Danio rerio: one gene and its partners. The protein of the gene in region 4 interacts with the protein of the main gene of each other region in a pairwise test. Links are inferred from orthologs where the notes say so. Each region holds a gene or a part of one and is shown on either strand. Other genes may lie near its edges. The genes, in order: stau1, kctd9a, efhc2, lonrf1 and alas1.

Region 1 (3,516 bases), on a different chromosome or scaffold from region 4:
CAATTTAACAAGATGGATAAGATGCATGTATTTTCCTTGTATATTCTAATACATTTTCAGGAAATAATTAAACAAAAGTTGCACAGGCTCAGAATTGCAGAGAAAATACATTTTCACTTAATTAGTGTATGAGATGGATTTTAGAATTCCATTCAAAAACAAAAAGTAGGCAAATACAAATGTTGAAAATGTCAAAAAAAAAAAAATAAAAATCAGTTCAACAGCAGACAACTGAATAAAAACTGCATGTATACAACAAACATAAATTATACTCTAAAAATTGCTGGGTTCCACAAACTTCCCTCATGTTGTGCCAACACAAATAGATTAAGTTAACCCCCATTTACGTTATCCCAAAAAAATCTCAAGAATTGCGTTTCAGCACATTTTAACTAAGCAGTTTTAAATCTTTTCAAGTATACACTGGTATCTATTTGAAACAAACAAAAATTTAAAATAATTATTAACTTTTAATTTAAAGGGAAAATGAAACAAGCAACGCACATGAAGTGTATATTACAAATACTCACTTTCCCCTCATTTGGCACCAATTAAATTGCTTGTCTGCTTTGGACATCCGTTTCCTGCTTGACTTTAAGTTCATTATACTTCTAATTCACTTTGTAATCGTTTCAGCATAAATAATACATTACTTATATTCTGGAAAACACCTTAGATTAGGTTCAAGCTCACAAAGCAGGGGTCTGATTTATAAAATATGCATAGAGCAAGAAACCTTCCTAAAAGTGAACGTACAACAGAATAATTATGTATTTGTTAATGAATATGGCTCATACAATGATTACAAGTGGTTCAGTTTAGTCAATGTTTGAGTTTACTTGGGTGGCACTGTGGCTCAGTGGTTAGCACTGTCACCTCAAACCAAAAAGGTTGCTGGTTCAAGTCCTGGCTGGGTCAGTTGGCATTTCTGCGTGGAGTTTGCATGTTCTCCTCATGTTAGCGTGGGTTTCCTCCAGGTGCTCCGGTTTTCCCCACAGTCCAAAGACATGCAGTACGATGATTTGGATTAACTAAAATTGGCCGTAGTGTGTGAGTGTGTGTGTATGTGAGAATAAAAGTGCATGGGTGTTTCCTAGTACTTGGTTGCAGCTGGAAGGGCATCCACTGCATGAAACATATGCTGGAATAGCTGGCGGTCCATTCCGCTGTGGTGACCCCTGATAAATATGGGATTAAGCCGAAGGAAAATAAATGAATGAATAAGTTTACTAAAATCTAAGCCCATTCTCCCATCAAGAATGTTTTTACATCACAACTTTTGTGTGCGCACATTTCCGCCCTATTTTTGATGTGTGCGCCATGTTAATAAATGAGACCCCAGCTCATTTCGTAGAATAATCCATTAACAGCATGTAATGAACATGACCCGTCTCACCTCAGTTATTTGCTGCAATATTGGCTCTTTCTGCAGGTATTTGATAGCTTTGGCTGCAGCGTCATGTTTGGCGGCCTGACGTGTGCGGCCCTTGCCATGAAACTGTTGACCACCGATTGACAGCTCCATATGATACAGTACTGGCCCCACAGGAGGAAATGGGTAGTAATAACTGCTCAAAAACAAAAGACATGCCTGTACATCAATCCTACTGCATTTGTGCTAAGAGATTAATCACTGGCTATCACACAAGACAAAATGATGTTATGCTTTTAGGAAAACTGAACAGATTGGAATAGAAAGTACATACTGCTGCATGGAGCGTGCATACGGGCTTGGTGCTCTGATGTTGTAGTTAAATGCTGGTCTCATCCCCTGGTAGGCATCTATAGGTTTATAGATGGGCTTTTTGCCCAACTTCATACAAAGTGCATTAAGCTCCACAGTGTGGGTTACATTATCTGCATGAGAGAGAGAAGCATGTCAAAGAGCTGCTTGCTTATTTATAAGGGTTCAAACTATTACAGTAATGTTAGAGAATACCATTACAATTTGTAGATAATTAAATTTACATATAAGCTAATTCAATTCAACAATCTTTCTAATGTGGTGAATTGGTGATCAAGAAAACCGTATTATCCACTTAAAGTTATAGGGCTTAAAAGCATTTCTTTAAAACAGATGACTTTTATTTGGATTATAAATGTCTTTACTGTAGTATTTGTTCAAATTTATTTGGGATTAATTTAATCTCTTTAAAAAAATGTACCACAATGTACCAATGTTTTTTTTTGTGATAGCAAAGCTGAAATTTCAGTATCCACTATTAAGCCTGATTTATACTTTCGCCTGGTGCCGCATCGAGCACCACCACTGACTGTGCATCCACCTCACAAAACGGCCAAGGCTTTTATACTTGATGCATTTGCTGTTGTGATATTCTTTAAAACAACAGGGGGCAGTCAAAAGAAACGGACTGTAAAATCAGACGGTTAAACAGAGAAGTAGAAAGTTTCCGGAACTGCGTCATATCATTAATATTGTTCAAGATTATTAATAAATTATTTTAACGATTATAAGCATTTTTATAACCGTTCAAGATTTTTTTTTATTTAAATTTGATGCATCACTTGCTTTCGTTGATATCTTGGACAGTTCAACCTTCAAACCTTCAGTTTAACCAAAAAAAAAGTACACTTTCTAAAATATCTAAAAAAAGTAAAGACTTTTTTTATTTAACCCACTTAACAATTCACACATTACTGTCTGGCTAGTTTGTCCTCTACCTTTAAGCTAAAAAGGCAATAAAGGTCCAAGATTCCTGACCATTATCACCTATAAAGCCTAAAAAAACAGGCATCCGTATATTGTAAACCAATCGGTTTAAATATTCCTTTCCAGTTATCAAAAAAAAAATAATAATAAAATTAATGATGTAACTTTATTTTAGCTTAGTAAATATTACATTGTTCTAAATTATAATATATACACATCAGTGTAAAACTTATGAGTGGTGGAAAAACATAATCTGTAATTGTTTGATAAAACCATCTGGGTCTCCCCTTTAGCTACGGCCTCTCTTTTTGGTTTTAACAAACTTATTCTTCAAGTTTTTCTAAACTTTTTAACAAATCTTTCTTCCTTTCCCACTGCTGTTGCAATTTCTAGCCAAGAATTATTGGTCATCCGGTTCTCCCTATAATCAAACATGGACAGACTATAAAGATATCTGTACAGTCGTACCTGTTTCAGACAAAATCTCTTCAAAGTGGTTCAGATTCAACTCAAAGCAAATGCGGCGCGTGCAAACTGTTTGTTCGAGTCTCAAAAAAAATCTTGCACTTCGCCAGCCAAAAGCATTTCACACGCACCCAAAGTGAACCTCCGCAAACACATTGATGGCGTCACATTCACTGCACGCACTCAAGCGAACTAGCGGACGCGTTAAGTATAAACCAGGCTTTATGATCACCTCTAATATGCTAATCTGGTGCTCAAGAAAACATGAGGAAAATGTTATTACAAAGTTATTACAAAAAATGGTTATATTACTACTACCAATGTTAAAATTGTTGCTTACTTTTATTATTCAATCTTAGGGCGTACTCTCACTAGTTACA
Region 2 (3,217 bases), about 46 Mb from region 4:
AATGTTTTATTTATAATAATTTATTTATTTTAGTGTCCAATTTATTAAACATACAGCGGTCACTTTTTGGACATTTTTAAAAATTAACGCAATAGTTACTTTCGCTGGTAATTAGTTAGTTTTATAATGATGTAATCCAGTTACTAACTTTTTTTACTTACTTTTTATGAGAAGTAACTAGTAACTATAACAAATGTTTTACCTTAAATCAAGCAAAATAAACTGCCAATGGCATAAGCAAAACAATTTTGGTTTCAGTTTGAAATAAGAACATTTTATTTACCCTAATGGAAGATTATTTAGCTAGTTTTAACAAAAAAAAACTCAGATAATTCTGACTTACTGATTCTGAAAACAAAACAATATTTTGAATTTGTGTAGAAAGTGCTTCTTGACTGAAGAATTTTTAGATATCTGGCCCGAAAACTGGACAAAAATCCTAAGCAAGTAGAATTTCTTTTAGTTTTTTTTTTTTGCAGTGAGTAAAGCTCAAAGAGGGCTGGCAAAACAAGTGCTAGTATTGCATAAGTTTTCACAGGAGCGTGAAAAGGATTGTGGGTAAGAGAGTGCTGTGAGGAGCTGGCTGGTGGCTTTTACCGGGCGGTGAGCAGAGTAAGTGGTTATCTCACGCTTTGAGACATGTGCAGCGGAGTCAGCATCTCCTCAAAGATGGCTCCTTTCACATTTGAACCACGCAGATTGGCTTCCTGTAGATCACAGCCTGAGAGATCGCAGTTCTGAACACACAATCAAATAATCAAGAGTAATTTTAAGCAGGATGCTAGTGTCTTGAAAAACAACTAGTCAAATATTATTTACAATCATCATGGCAAAGATAAAAGAAATCAGTAATTAGAAATGAGTTATTAAAACTATCATGTTTAGGAATGTGTTTTAAAAAATCTTATCGTTAAACAGAAATTGGTGAAAAAATATGCAGGGCTCATAATTCTGACTTTAATTGTTCATATTTTTCTTCTTCCTTTGAAAAATCTCTAAACATTTTCAAACATTCAATCAACACTGCCGTCTCACCTCTAGATCTGTGCCGGCTAATGTAGCACCACGCAGGTTACAGTTCTTTAGCTTAGCATTCTTCAGCGTAGCCACACGCAAATTTATCCCAGTCATCTGACTGCCCTCCATGTCCACTCCTTTCAGATTAGCCCCTAAAGCGCACAGCAAAAACATTGCTTAAAACATGGCAGTTCAACATTAAAGGCACAGTTCACCCAAAAACTCTGGACCTTTTATCTGCTCATTGTAATTGGGATAATGAGGAAATAACACACACCCGACCATGGAACAGTTTAGAAGCCAAATGTCTGATTACTTTTGGTCCCTTAACAAGTGGGAGGCGCATATGCAAACTCTTCCTACAGCGGTCACTTGATTTGGATGTTAATACGCTCAAATTAAAGCTGACACTCTGCAGTTAAAACACATCTTGTTGGTTTTATTTCAAATCGGTTGTGCTGGTGTATAGAGCTAAAAATGTTAGAATTGTGTCAATGTCCAAATACAGTTGAAACCAGAATTTTACATACACTCTGAAAAAAGGAACATAGCCATTTTTTTTAATGTCTGGTGTTAAATCATACTAAATGTTTACTATTTTAGGTCCGTTAGGATTACCTAAATGATTTACATTTGCTAAATACCAGATTAATAAGATTTTTTTTTTTAGATTTTTTTTTTTTATTTCTAGACAGTCAAAAGTTTAAACACATTTCCTTGGTATTTTTTTTTTTTTAGCTTTGCTTTAAAACTGTATACTTTGGTCAAATGTTTTGGGTTTTCTTCCACAAGCTTCACACAATAGTTTGCAGGAATTTTGGCCCATTCCTCCAGACAGAATTGGTGTAGCTGAGTCAGATTTGTAGGCTGTCTTGCTCGCACAAGCTTTTTCAACTCTGGCCACACATTTTCTATAGGATTGAGATCAGGGCTTTGTGATGGCCACTCCAAAACATTCACTCAGTTGTCCTTAAAGCACATTTTAACTCATTTGGCAGTATGCTAAGGGTCATGGTCTGTTTGGAAGATCCATTTGTGGCCAAGTTTTAATTTTCTGACTGATGTCTTGAGATGTTGATTCAGTATTTCTCCATAATGTTCTTTCTTCATGATGCCATCTATGCTGTGAAGTGGACCAGTCCTTCCTACAGCAAAACAGCCCCACAACATGATGCTGCCGCCCCCATACTTCACAGTTGGGATGGTGTTCCTAGGCTTGTAAGCTTCCCCTTTGTCCTCCAAATGTAACACTGGTCATTATGGCCAAACAGTTCAATCTTAGTTCCATCAGACCACAGGACATGCCTCTATAAAATATTCTTTTCCCAGTGTAATTTAGCAAATTGTAATCTGGCTTTTTTTTTTGTTGTTGATTCTGGCTTGTTGATTTTCCCATGTTGTCACACAAGGAAGCAGTGTGTTTGAGGTTTTCCTTAAATACTATTCTACAGTTGTGACTCCAATTAACTCAAATGTTGTCAATTAGCCAATCAGAAACTTCCAAAACCTTGACAGCATCATGTGAGGTTTTTCAGAGGCAGAATAATCTTACTGTATGTGAACTTGAATTTCAATAAAAGTTAAAACAATTTCTCAAAAAAATCTCTCTCTCATTATTCTGCTATTAAGCAGAACAGAAACAAATTCAATAATTCTAACTTACCTAAAAGAGAAACAGTTTAGTAAAAAAAAAAAAAAACCTTTTTTTTTAAAATATGTTTTTTAAATGTGCCTTTTTATACAGTGTATGTAAATATAGGTAAATAAATATTCATAAACACATATAAATGTTCACACGTTTAAAAAAAATCTAAAATCTAAACATTCCAAACCTTCAAGGTGCTGACGACGTTAAATGTGTCATAATATGTCATGTGAAAAGGGTCCATCAGCTTAATTCTACTAGATAAAATAAACACTGGATTTAAATATGCAGGAGTTTTACCCTCTAAATTGGCTTTAAGTCCAGAGGGATCCTCAAAGTTACATCCTTTAAGAGACGCTCCCTCCGCATTGGAGCAGAGCATCTTCACGCCCTGAAGATTAGCACCCTGGAGAACAGGATCATTTAACAAACTGAGAGATGAAAAAGAAGGAGATTTGTCCCAGAGCAAGAGATAAAGGGCTCACATCCAGGTTGGCTCCCGACAGGTCGGCTCTCTCTAGGTTTGAGCAGCACAGGTTTGCATAGGTGAGATTG
Region 3 (4,066 bases), on a different chromosome or scaffold from region 4:
CAGAAACTTTTTAATTTTTAAATTATTTTAATCTATAAATTTAGAACTCTTTATATTTAATTGTATGTGCATGTTAATGTTCTGTTTATACTGTACAATATTCCTGTAAGTGACAAGAATTTTGTCTAAGGAAAGTCGACCTTACTGTCCTAATTAAATAATTAGAAAACAAGGCATAATCATATTTTATTTTGGTAAAATAAGATGAATCTAGAGGTCTTTGTCTTTCATATAAGCCACTTCTGATACCAAATGATCAACTAGAAGTCCAGTTATTATTAATTGTTCCTAAAACTTGGATAGGCGACTTTGGTCAGGTAGTGTCGAAACGTTTAACAAGATTACAGTACAAAAACCTTAGTTGGCAATACATTTCTGTTACTTTCTGGAATTATTTCTGTACATATATATAATTTTCTTAAAATTTATTGTTTTAAACTACTAAACATGTCTATTAAGTTTACTTTGTTAAACCGTAGAGATGTTCAACATTGGAAGTTGACAGCACATATAGCAAGGTCTAATATTACTATCTGAAAGCATAATTAAACAAAACAAAACACCTGTGAGATACGTCAACTTTTAAAACGAAATGAATACATCCTTTAGTGTGACAATTCTTCAGAAAGCATTGCGTATGCTAATTTGTACACTCATTCATTCATTTTCTTTTGGGCTCAGTCCCTTTATTAAAAGGGGTCGCCACAGCGGAATGAACCGCCAACTTAACCAGCATATGTTCTACGTAGCGGATACCCTTCCAGCTGCAACTCATCACTTATTCACACACATACACTACAGACAATTTAGCTCATCCAATTTACCTATGTGCATGTCTTTGGACTGTGGGGGAAACCGAAGCACCTGGAGGAAACCCACGCGAACACAGGGAGAACATGCAAACTCCACAAAGAAACATCAACTGAACCAGCCGAGGCTTGAACCAGTGACCTTCTCGCTGTGAGGCGAATGTGCTACCCACTGCACCATTGTGCCTCCATTAATTTGTACCTTGTAAACTGTTTTTTTATTATACTTGCAATAGTTTTGCTCAATGCATTAGTTATATATGTGATTCTCCTTTACAGATATGTTCTTTTCTAATATGTTTATATATATATATATATATTTAAAGTAATGTGCTGTTTCTTACTAACCTTGGGAAGCTTGCCCCTGTGCAGAAATTTAGGGACAGTGTCTCGACCAGAGTTTGGAGGAACAACTTCGTACATTTCCATGGTGTCGTCTGCCAGGAAGTAATGCAGGATCAGCTCTCTAGGGTCTCCAAACATGCTCTCACTATCATCCCAGTAGCAGTAGAAGCGCAGGACTTGGCGGTCATGCTCTAAAAACTGCTTCAGGGTATCCAGTCTTTCATACGGCCGCAGTGGCTTCATGTTCTCTTCCAACTGTCAGGGGAAACACACTTTATAATACGGAAGTTCTGATATTGCTATTTAGATCCCTGGTGCTCACTTGCCTCTTGTCGAAGGGTAGTATAGGGATCCGCTGGTGTGGAAGCAGGAGGATTCAGTCGGACTCCCATTTTTATCAAAAAGTTGCGAGTGAAAGGGTCACAGTCTGTGATCATAAAGTTTCTGGAATAAAACACGACTTCCTGGTTGATGTTGAAATGGTGCACATTGTAGAAACAATCATCTTTAGGAGCTGGTAGAGGAATGCGGTGGCGCCGAATCAGGGTTCCTGTACAGAAGAAGAACAGCTGAATTTAGACAAGATGTTTTTAACTGGTTTGTCATTAATCTGGAAACTAAATGTTTGATTCTGATGGTTCACCTTGTGGGATGCCACTGTTTTTGAACTCTGGCTCCACCACTTGTATGGTGTCATCCTCCAGGTAGAAGTAAATCTTGCACTTTCGTACTCTATATTTTTCTTCCCTCCTTTGAGGAACATCTTCATTGAAATAAGCATCAAAACACAGGACCTTCAGGTAGGTAAATAAAGGGGGGTAAATTTGTATATTTTGCCAAGCACTAGGTGAAAAAATAGGTATATTATATTCTTATATGATGAAAAACCTGTTTGTCAAAGGCAAGCCATGCTGGAGCACCACTGCCCTCTCCTTTTGGAAACCGTGAATATTTGGCTCTTGCACTCTGTCCCAGGAGCAGATCTCCTCCAATGCCCGGCTTCTCTGTCCCAACCATCATAGCTACTCCATTTGAATAATCAAAATGCTGAGACTTGTGAAATTTGTCTTTTCCAAGCTGGAAAGAGATTTGTTTTCATTATTGTGTAAGACAAACTATATCAGACCATTTAACCTGTTATTATATTAGATCAGTTTCCTTCATTTGCTTTTAGTGGTTTAAACAATTGAACTGCCTACTTACTAACAAATGAACTAATGCATAATGTGTAATAAACACATAAGTTACATTTTTTTTATCCATCTCGTTCAATGGTATGTTCAAAAAGGTAAATCGTCATTTTCTCTGACCACTTTTATCGCACCTGACGTCGAAACTGTGCTTAAAGTTAACTTATATTGAATCATAAATAATAACGTTAACGCATAACGTTATATTAAGTGCTTTCGAAAGGATAAATTGCACTTTTGCTCTTGCACCAATGTAAGTTAGCTTAGAAATGTCCTACAAGGCTTTTTATAACAGGAATTTATTTTAGATTTCTGATATTACTTACGTTTCTGTTGACTGAATTTCCAGGCAGCATTGGTAACGCCATGATTATCAGCGAATTAACGTTATTTTTCCCTCAGTTGGACGACAGCCGCAGACGGCACAACTGCTCGCCACGGTAACGGTAACAACTTGTTTGCAAATGTCATTGCTAGGCAACGAAACGCAGATAACGTGACAATGCACAGTAGTCACTATATAATTAAACTATTTAAAACTAATGCTTAAAATAAATAATTTTATAGACTTCTTATGTGAAATAGAACATTTAGTTTAATCACTTAGTAAATATGATCTTTAATGCTACTTAATGCTAACTAAAACTCTGAAAACTGAACTGACACGGTTTCACTAGAATCTTCTATGTAAAACAATCCACATTGTAAAATAAAAATTATACTATAAAAATAAAGATTAATACTTTTTTTGCAATTTTTTTTTGATTCATTTTTAATGTACTTTTTTTTGGGTTTTGCTCTTTATCCTGTGTATCTAATGTAAATATTGTGTAATAGAACTTCTCTTTTACTGTATTCTAAGTTGTAATTTACAGTTTCCTGGTATAAAAAAAACAAGCAAACAAAAACTAATGCTTAAAATAATAGACTTCTCAATAAACAAAAAGGTTGGTCTTCAATATCACTATATGATTCTTAAAGTATAACGTTAATAAATTAATCAAAATATAATAAAAGTAGGCTAACTAATACCAGGCAGTTAGATATCACAAATTAATGAAATACTATTTAAAACAACAAATGTTCTTTTCAGTTTAATAATCTACTGCTACACTCTTTTAAAAAGCTTGTTTAGTTAATAGCATTCATAGTCATATCAAACAACATCAAACTGACTTAAAATATAAAGTTAAACTTCGTATAATTCAGCATAACTTTAGTTGAAACCTGATTTACTTATTAAAATAAGTTAAAGTAAAAAAATCACCTTGACATTTTTTTGTCATGTAACTTTTTTCAGTTATGACTGTTGATTAAACAGCCTTTTTTTCTTTCCTTTTTTTTTCTTAGAAATGTACCACTGTAAAAATCTGCAGGGTAGCATTTAATAACTTAACCCACACAGATACATTATTATTATTATTTTTACTTTTTAAAGTCGTTGTTTTTTGCAACACTGTAAAACACTCAGATTCATCCAAACACAATATATTGTCATTTAAATTCACCATAAAACAGATGTTAAGATTGTCCTGTTTTTCATATCAAATTGAAACGATTCTGAAATGAGAAAAAAACCTTCAGGAACTGATTGGATCATTGGAGGATAGGCATCGCTAACAAAATGATGGAAGACTGATAAGTAGACAAAAGTAGGGTTATTGCTAGATCACATACGGTTGTGGCCGGAAGTAAACAAGAATTATTTATATTATGTATTAA
Region 4 (4,202 bases):
AGATTTAATTTTATTTTAGATTTAACATTGTACATAGTTAAATAAAATAAATCTTTACTAAATTTAGAAATGGGGATGCAAAGTCACAGGTGTTAAAAACACACGCAAATAATAAACTTTTATTATGGTTAAACTCCACAAACCTCGTGTTTTGCGAACTTATGGCCAATTATCATTATGCTCAAATACAATCCCAACATATAAACTCTCAACATTGCATATGTAATGTAACTATTGAGAGATGGTGAGATAGCCAGACAGACAGACAGGATGGGTGAGTGTATAAATGTATAAAAGACTCCTCAAATCCCTTCTTTAAAAACTTTTTTCTCTAATATGTCAAAAAAATAATAATAAAAGGAATTTTCAGTCTGACTTCAATCAATGCTCAGATGCTTGTGATAGAAAAGTATGAAAATAAGCACATATTTAACAAAACAATGCCTTATTTGATTAAAATGTAACTTTTTATACAGCTGCAATGCAAAATGAGTTTGAAAATCTTAATGTAATCGAAAATAAAAAAAATAGTAATAACTCTTAGCTGTTGCCTTTTTTTACCCTATCCAGCTGCACTATCTTGCCTCTACAGTCTGACAGGCGCTGTGTCATTAATTTTCATACTCGTGATCCCCGAGATTTTATGATGTGTAAGATGAGAAGATCAACGAGAGACATTTGTGAACCGACATGCCACAAGGGAACATGAACTGAGTGACACTGCAGGGCTGCCTTGTTTTTTTCCTCCAGCAGGGTAAATGAGGACACAGCAGTGAAGATGAGACTGCCGCACCATGATTATACTGTACCTCTGATTTGCTCAATGATGTTACTTATCTGGAACACACACTTTTATCAAAACATGTGCCCAGAACACAGTGTGATTACTAAATAAAAAAGTCCTTCCAATTTTAACTACACAAGATGACCTTATATATATGTTATGCAACTCAATGTTTTCTTGCCTGCCACTTGATTTTTATGAATCAACAATGCATTTAAATAATAATAATAAGAATATTTTGATGTGAGAAAAGTTATATAAACTCATATAAAAAGGACAAAGATTATCTCTTTTAAATCAGGAATCACCAGCTGATGTAATGTAATACTGTTTATAACCCGAATAGAGGAATTTGTCGACATCCAGACATTTGGAATAGAAATTCAAGGTTCTCCATAACATAACATACTGAACTTAATGTGTCATGGTTATATATGGGTATTCAGGATCTAAATAGGACAAAATAAATGAATGAAAATGAATATAAATTATATATATTACACACACACACATATATACACACACAGACACACGCACGCACACATACGTGTGTGTGTGTGTGTGTGTGTAAATATATATATATATATATATATATATATATATATATATATATATATATATATACACACACACACACATATATATATATATATATATATATATATATATATATATATATATATATATATATATATATATATATATATATAGTCTGCAGTCTTTTCAGTCCAGCTGCTTTTGAATTTTGGTATACAACTTGCACTTCTATTACGCCTTTTGATAAACTTAGTTGTTAGCATAAACACCCAAAAATACACTCATAAAAGGTAAAAACTGATAAAAAACGTTAAATACAAAGTAACAATTCATGCCTGTTTTGACATTGCAACCTTTTTCAGCTGTTGTTTACCAAAAGCGTTTTAGGATTTAGGTTACTATTCAACCAACAGGACATGACAGCCCTCACGCATCGGTCTCGTGAATAAACAATAGAACATTATGGCTATAACGCACTGTTCTACTTGTTATTATAAAACTCACTTTGATTCAGATTACAAAACACTCTCTGTGTCACGACCTGCCTTACACAACGCGCGGCGAGTGCGCATGCGCCATGCGAACACGTTTTGTAATGCAGCCACTCTCCTGTTACATGACCGCGGGGGGCGGGGCTAATATGTAAGTTACAGCTGGCCATCCAAATGTTGGTCAGTGGAACTCCTTAAACCTCCTATTAATAATATAAAAACTTGACCCAATTACCCTTCCGACAGTGCATATATTTTACAATAATAATAACAACAACAATAAAACAGGAGGATGCGAACTTACCATAGTCTAATAACCGACTCGTTAGTGCAATCGCCTTGTCGTACTGTTTACTCTTCAACAGGCTTTCAGCTTCCCCTAAATATTTAGTTCTTTTGACGTCTTCTGGAAACCACTTGTCTAAAAGTCCACACAATATCACATTCAGCCGGGGTTCACCTGGCCTCCTCCTAATGTCCTCGTTGCACACTTTGCATTGAGAAAAAGTGCTATGCTGTAAACATCTCCTACAATACGTGTGTCCACAGGTCACCGTCACGGGCTCGGCTATGAAACAGTGGCAACCAGGGCAGTCTAATTCACAGTCCTGTGTCCAGTTCGGCTCACTTCTCGCTGGCGACTCCTCTGATTTCTTCTTGAAGTTGCGCAGGACGCATCCGACCAAACTGCTCAGCTGCTCCGGCCTGACAGGACCGTATCTGAGAGCCATGGCGAACATATCGACAGCCTCTTTGAGACGGTTTTCCGACGCTAAAGCTTCAGCTTTGAGCAAAACAAGTTGACGGTGATCGACATGCTCGTCCACGTCCCAGTCGCCTTCAGTTTCGGATGGTATAAAAAACCGTCCTCTCTCCTCCAAAGCGTAGTCTTGGTCTAGTCTCCGCAACGACATGTTTGCGAGCGACGCCCACTGAACTGGCAAAATATAATAAATGATAAAAATGTCAAAGCATTCTTACGGTTAACAGTGTAGAAGAACGTAGTGACTCGCGCTCCTAAACATACTGGCGTTTTGTCCGCGAGTTACGTAAAAATACACTCACGTGACCGTGAGCGAGCGCGTCCATTGGCAGCCGAGGCGCATTACAAAACATGAAGCTCGGAGTTTTGTAACGAGCAATTCGGGACTATAGCGAGAAAAAGGGCTGATTTGAAAGAATGCATGCATATAAATCCAGAGAAGTCAGCGTGTCATCAGACTATCATGTGTTATTCACTTTTATGCTGGGCGTTTTGGTGGAAAAAACATTTTAACTGACCGGACATCGTGTGTGATATAACATCAGGATTTGTTTTGCGTGTTTCACTGATGTGTATTTGTTTTGAGAAAAGAGATCAATGATTTCCTGTGTTAACTAAATGTGTTTGTGTGAATTGTCTAGGGGCCTGGCATATAGGTTGAATGTCTGGGTCTGTTACTCAACAGTGTTAAGTCTGTCGGAATGTCGGTAGTCATGTAATATATAGGTCAACACACACATACGTAATTCCATATTGCACAAGAGATAAGTCTGATAACATTTTCCCATTGCAAAGCATCAGTGGCCGATAGATATGCGTAATTCAGGGTTGGGAAATCATTTTTATGCGATCACCACTTTATTAAGTTAAGCACAATGTGTGATGCTTGCAGTGTCATATGACCTTGAAGAATCAGTCTAGTATGCTGATTTGCTGTGATTTCAGGATTGAATTATTTGAAATAAAATCTTTTGTAACATTATGAATGTATTTTTTCTTTCTTTTGAAAAAATGTTATATCAGTGTTGACTAAAAGAGCTGGAGTTTTTTTAAATAATATATTATTACTTCAACAAAAATATGAAGCAGCCACTTATCAAAAAGTGTATATAGATCAGTGGTAGCATATGAGGTGCCGTATAGGATTTAAATCAAACAATTGCTTATCAACACATACATAAAACACGTGTATATACACCTATAAATTACTTGCATATACACCTATACTACTGGATGTTCAAAACAACATGGATGAAACTTTTTGTATATACATATAAACTTGACGCATGAATACACCCACATACACACGCACATACATATAAACTCGATCCTCACATAAACACCCACATTAACACACGCACATACATATAAACTTGCTGCATGCAAACACACCTATACACACTCGCATACACATATAAACTTGATCTATGCATATACAACCATAAACTCTCACATAAGAATATAAACTTGATGTGTGCATAAACACCCAAATGACACTTGTGCAAACATAAAAAATAAAATTCACAAACATATATACAGTTAGTTGTGTATATACATATATGCAAGTGATTTCATATGTGTGTATGCATGAATTTTCACAGTAAAAGGAAGTTATTTCACTTTAAAA
Region 5 (4,239 bases), on a different chromosome or scaffold from region 4:
AGCGGGCGCAGCAGGGGTCTGGAGGCCAGATCCATCATCACAGGACACTTCACCGCATACGCCACCAGAGACTTCCTGGCTTGCTGGAGGAACGTCTGCGGGACGCGGGACAGGAATGGGCAGCGAATGATGGCGTCCATAGCTGACGGTTCAGTGAGGTCTGGAAAACACAGAACAGAGAGCAGGTTAATTACAACTGACTGATTACACAGTGCACTGTCATGGTGATTAACAGCCGGCCGGTGTGAAGGGTTACTGTCACTTTCACATGACTGGAACTGAGCCACAACCTCAGTACTGAGAGTTCAAAAACACACACACACACACACACACACACACACACACACACACACACACACACACACACACACACACACACACACACACACACACACACACACACACACACACACACACACACACACACACAAACAAACAAACAAACAAACAAACACACACAAACACACACAAACAAACAAACACACACAAACAAACAAACACACACAAACAAACACACACACACACACACGTTCGTATATCTCGGTACAGCTGTAGTGATGTTTGTTCTGTACAGTGTGTGTGTATTCTCTCGTCTCCCTCTAAACTCAACGCTCACAGCACACACTCTGCACTTCTACATCTCTAAACACTTCATTCTGTCTGATTTATGAGCATATTTACTTAATTTGGGGCCCTACGGTGACAATTCCCTCAGAGTCTGTGTGCATTCTAGGCATGAGATGATAACCGGTTACAAGGTTTACTGCGGTCTGGAAAAGTCTCGGTATTAAAACCGCACAAATGTTTTTTATACCGTTTCTAAGGTATATGTAGAGTTTTTTTATGTGTTGTAAGGAAATCTGTTTTGAAGATTTTTGAAGATAAAAAAGATTGTAGAAGTCAATGGTTTATTTTAATTATGTAGCCTGACATGTTTACGGTTCCAAAATAATATAAATGTTTCCTAAAATGTAATATATTGTGTTAATTGGGGAAAAAAGTTGTTGTTTTTGACTAAGACAAAATAAAAATAAATGATTATACAGCAGTAAATCACATTACCATTGAGGGAATATAAATTTATATTCCATAGTAATGCAAAGTGTCAGTCTCACAGCACGGCTGTGTCACTTGTTTTCTCTTTTCGGTCAACTGGTCAGGCGGTTTCTGTCTCCAGAACATGATGAGATCAGACCTGAAAAGGCAGTTTACCCTGCCGACAACAACACTTCATTTGCATGCTCGGTTTAGCCATCTCCCCTCATCCTAAGAACACATTATAGACAAAACAGCTTTATCTCAAATCAGACTTGTGATAGAACTTCCAGATTGCAGACCTCCAGTAGGCTCCTGCAGACACTGGGACTTCTTGAAGACGCTGTATGAATGCAGATTAACCAACACGTCTAATGTTGTTATGAAGTCATATTTACATGCCATTTCACACCCAATATGTAAATATGTAAAGCAGTGTAATAAACAACACGTTAAACTAATGTGCGAATATAAAACATACTTTACCGCCTCAACATTAGACACACACACACACACACACACAGTACACTAATACTCCTTAAAGCTGTGTGTGAGCACTCAAACTCAAATCACAGTAAGCCCATTCCACACAGATTTACAGCTGCTCTCAGCTCAGCCCTCATCATCATCATCATCATCATCATCGATACTCATTGAGGTCAAGTTGGTTTTATATTCTCACATGTATTCAGTGGTTCCCTCCCTATATTGTTTACCATGGTACTTTGAATGTTAGGTCAAAATTGGATGTAAGGATCAGACTGTAAACAATGCTGTACTCTGATAGCCATTGGCTGATTATATGATTTCACCATTTAGAATGAGCAAAGAACACTTTTCTGATATTAAATTATTAAAGAGAATGTCCAAATGTGTGAATTTAAAACCAACTTTCCCTCAATCCCATACTCATACGAGTTAAAACAGCAGAAACTGTTTTTATATTCGCACATTCAGACTTTCTCCTTCACAATCTCATTTCAGAAAAGTATTATCAAATTCTAAATAGGGGAATCATATCAGCAGTCAATGACCATCAAAGTGCATTCCAGCATTATTCACGGTCAATTAAACAGTGCTAATGTTGTTTTAGAATTCATATTTAAATGCTCTTTCAGACTCGATATTCAAAATAGAGTGGTAAACAATATAGAGAGCATTAAATGACCCAATGTGTGAAAATAAAACCAACTTGACCTCATTAATTCCTGATGAAGTCAGAGAACAGCGCCGACAGTGACTCACCGATACTGTCAGCTCACCTGCCGGGAAACAGCTGACTTACACACGGAAACTAAACCTCACGTTACACTAACAGTTCACTACTCTGCTACATTACAAATCAATATAGTACAGTACAGTACAGTAATTTAACCTACCGGCTAATGTTAAGAGTTATGATTTCTGCGTCACGTGACGTAACGTTAGCAAACCTGACAGGAACCTGAGGCGTTTTAGCTAAATTTGCTAAATGTACATTAAAAACGACCATCGTATCCTCTACTGAACTCTCTCTACCTTTAATAAGATATAAAACATAAATAAATGCAGATGTACAGTTAATCTGTGGAGTCTTCAGAGGTCAACAGTTAGAAAGCCGCATGATTAAACGCGCCGCGACCTCTAATGAACGCGCCTCACCTCAGTTTCCTCCGAGATCGCGGGTGTGTTCTGTTGGTATCGCTGTCCGGTGGTCGGTTGTTAGTGTTATGCCGTCTCTGGCCTGTTTTCTCAGCCGTAATGAGCGATGTGCGTCGTTATCCTGCACTGAGGACGAACGAGAGGGCGAGCGGCGCTCCGGGATTATATCGCACCAGCGGCCGCAGATCTCGCGATCTTTACGTCAGCAGCCGCGAGGACACGCCTCTCCTTCCGCGCAAACTATGGCGACACCGGTTGTTGCTAGAAGAGATACAGCTGCGGCGAGAAATGAAGTTAACGAGAATTGTATTTTATAAACGTCTACCTTAACCCTCACATTAATGTAAAAACAGTAATTACACCGAGACGAATCATATTGTTTTTTAAACTACCCATTAAATAGTATTTTATTAACGCCTAACCCAACCCTCACGTAAACAGTAGTATACTGAGTTCGTATTGTTTATTAAATGACCCATTAATTGTATTTACAAACTTCTACACCTACCCCAGCCCTCACAGTAATGTAAAATATGAATTATTGTTGTACAGGGTGGGTCATAAAAAGTATGAGTAACCGCAGCTGTATCCCTTCTAGACTGCACCGCCTCAAACCCTGAGCACACGAGGCGGATAATTCCCAGATTGATCAACACGTGTGTTGTGATCAGTATGATACATGTGTCCTCGTGTTTGTTTATGTCATTAATATGAGGAAACTACACCAGAAAGTCAAAGGAAGTGTATAGACGCGCCCTGCTACAGGAATAGCCCAGACATAACTCAGAGTAAAAACAACAGGACTGTTTCCTTAAAGTTTTCAGGGTCAGTTCACACACAAATGTAAATCCCACCATCATTTTCTCATCCTCCACCTCATCAAACCTGTTTATGTCTTCTGTTCAACACAAAGGAAGATATTCTGAAGAATGCTGGAAGATATGTCTGTTCTATTGGAGTCAGCTTTTCCAGCATTATTATATTTGTGTTCAACAGAAGAAAGAAATCATTAAAGTTTACAGCCACTAATAAAGAAACAGCGAAGAACTATTGAGGAAATGTTCGTTTTCAGTTGGTGAACTACTCTGTCCCATTATAAATGAAGCTATAAACTAGATGAACACACTTCTCTTACATGCACTTTGTTGATTTAGAGATTTTTTATAAGTTATAAATATGTAAAATATGTAAATATATAAGCAGGTTTAATAGTTATAATATGTTTAAAAGTGAGATAAAACTGAGGCACATGAAATTCACTTTTAAGTTTTTGTTTTGAATTTGTGTCTGTAAATAAAACCATAATAAACTATTATTGCACAAGTTATACACTATATGCTCATTACACATATATAATTATACACATTTTGCACTGAGCCATAGACATTATTTGCCTGATTAAAAGCTATATTATAGTTCTGTTCCACAATAAATGTTTTAATAAATATTTTTTGTTGGTTTATTTGCAAATTTTCCATCTCTTTGCAGTATTTTCTAAATTATAAAGAGTGATGCAAAAGAGACATATGGAAAATCAGCTGTAAAATAATCAAACAGGAATTT

The links.
Region 1: the proteins of lonrf1 (region 4) and stau1 interact in binary tests that used the Homo sapiens proteins (3 or more experiments, as listed by UniProt). The two-hybrid records come from large-scale screens. The link is inferred for Danio rerio from reciprocal best matches to the Homo sapiens genes LONRF1 and STAU1.
Region 2: the proteins of lonrf1 (region 4) and kctd9a interact in binary tests that used the Homo sapiens proteins (3 or more experiments, as listed by UniProt). The two-hybrid records come from large-scale screens. The link is inferred for Danio rerio from reciprocal best matches to the Homo sapiens genes LONRF1 and KCTD9.
Region 3: the proteins of lonrf1 (region 4) and efhc2 interact in binary tests that used the Homo sapiens proteins (3 or more experiments, as listed by UniProt). The two-hybrid records come from large-scale screens. The link is inferred for Danio rerio from reciprocal best matches to the Homo sapiens genes LONRF1 and EFHC2.
Region 5: the proteins of lonrf1 (region 4) and alas1 interact in binary tests that used the Homo sapiens proteins (3 or more experiments, as listed by UniProt). The two-hybrid records come from large-scale screens. The link is inferred for Danio rerio from reciprocal best matches to the Homo sapiens genes LONRF1 and ALAS1.

What each region holds. Positions count from the first base shown.
Region 1 is NC_133181.1:48,966,738-48,970,253, reverse strand, and holds part of stau1 (double-stranded RNA-binding protein Staufen homolog 1), read right to left. Parts: intron 1,858-3,516; coding exon 1,707-1,857; intron 1,569-1,706; coding exon 1,397-1,568; intron 1-1,396. UniProt on the Homo sapiens protein: Binds double-stranded RNA (regardless of the sequence) and tubulin.
Region 2 is NC_133183.1:61,414,462-61,417,678, forward strand, and holds the end of kctd9a (BTB/POZ domain-containing protein KCTD9a), read right to left. Parts: coding exon 3,148-3,217; intron 3,069-3,147; coding exon 2,963-3,068; intron 1,170-2,962; coding exon 1,036-1,169; intron 738-1,035; coding exon 621-737; 3' UTR 501-620; downstream 1-500. UniProt on the Homo sapiens protein: Substrate-specific adapter of a BCR (BTB-CUL3-RBX1) E3 ubiquitin-protein ligase complex, which mediates the ubiquitination of target proteins, leading to their degradation by the proteasome.
Region 3 is NC_133184.1:35,469,623-35,473,688, forward strand, and holds the start of efhc2 (EF-hand domain-containing family member C2), read right to left. Parts: upstream 2,811-4,066; 5' UTR 2,713-2,810; coding exon 2,671-2,712; intron 2,232-2,670; coding exon 2,043-2,231; intron 1,949-2,042; coding exon 1,798-1,948; intron 1,705-1,797; coding exon 1,481-1,704; exon of another isoform or gene 1,477-1,480; intron 1,410-1,476; coding exon 1,158-1,409; intron 1-1,157. UniProt on the Homo sapiens protein: Microtubule inner protein (MIP) part of the dynein-decorated doublet microtubules (DMTs) in cilia axoneme, which is required for motile cilia beating.
Region 4 is NC_133183.1:15,527,299-15,531,500, reverse strand, and holds the start of lonrf1 (LON peptidase N-terminal domain and RING finger protein 1), read right to left. Parts: upstream 2,801-4,202; 5' UTR 2,727-2,800; coding exon 2,117-2,726; intron 1-2,116.
Region 5 is NC_133186.1:320,233-324,471, forward strand, and holds the start of alas1 (5-aminolevulinate synthase, non-specific, mitochondrial), read right to left. Parts: upstream 2,815-4,239; 5' UTR 2,677-2,814; intron 161-2,676; 5' UTR 141-160; coding exon of another isoform or gene 1-140.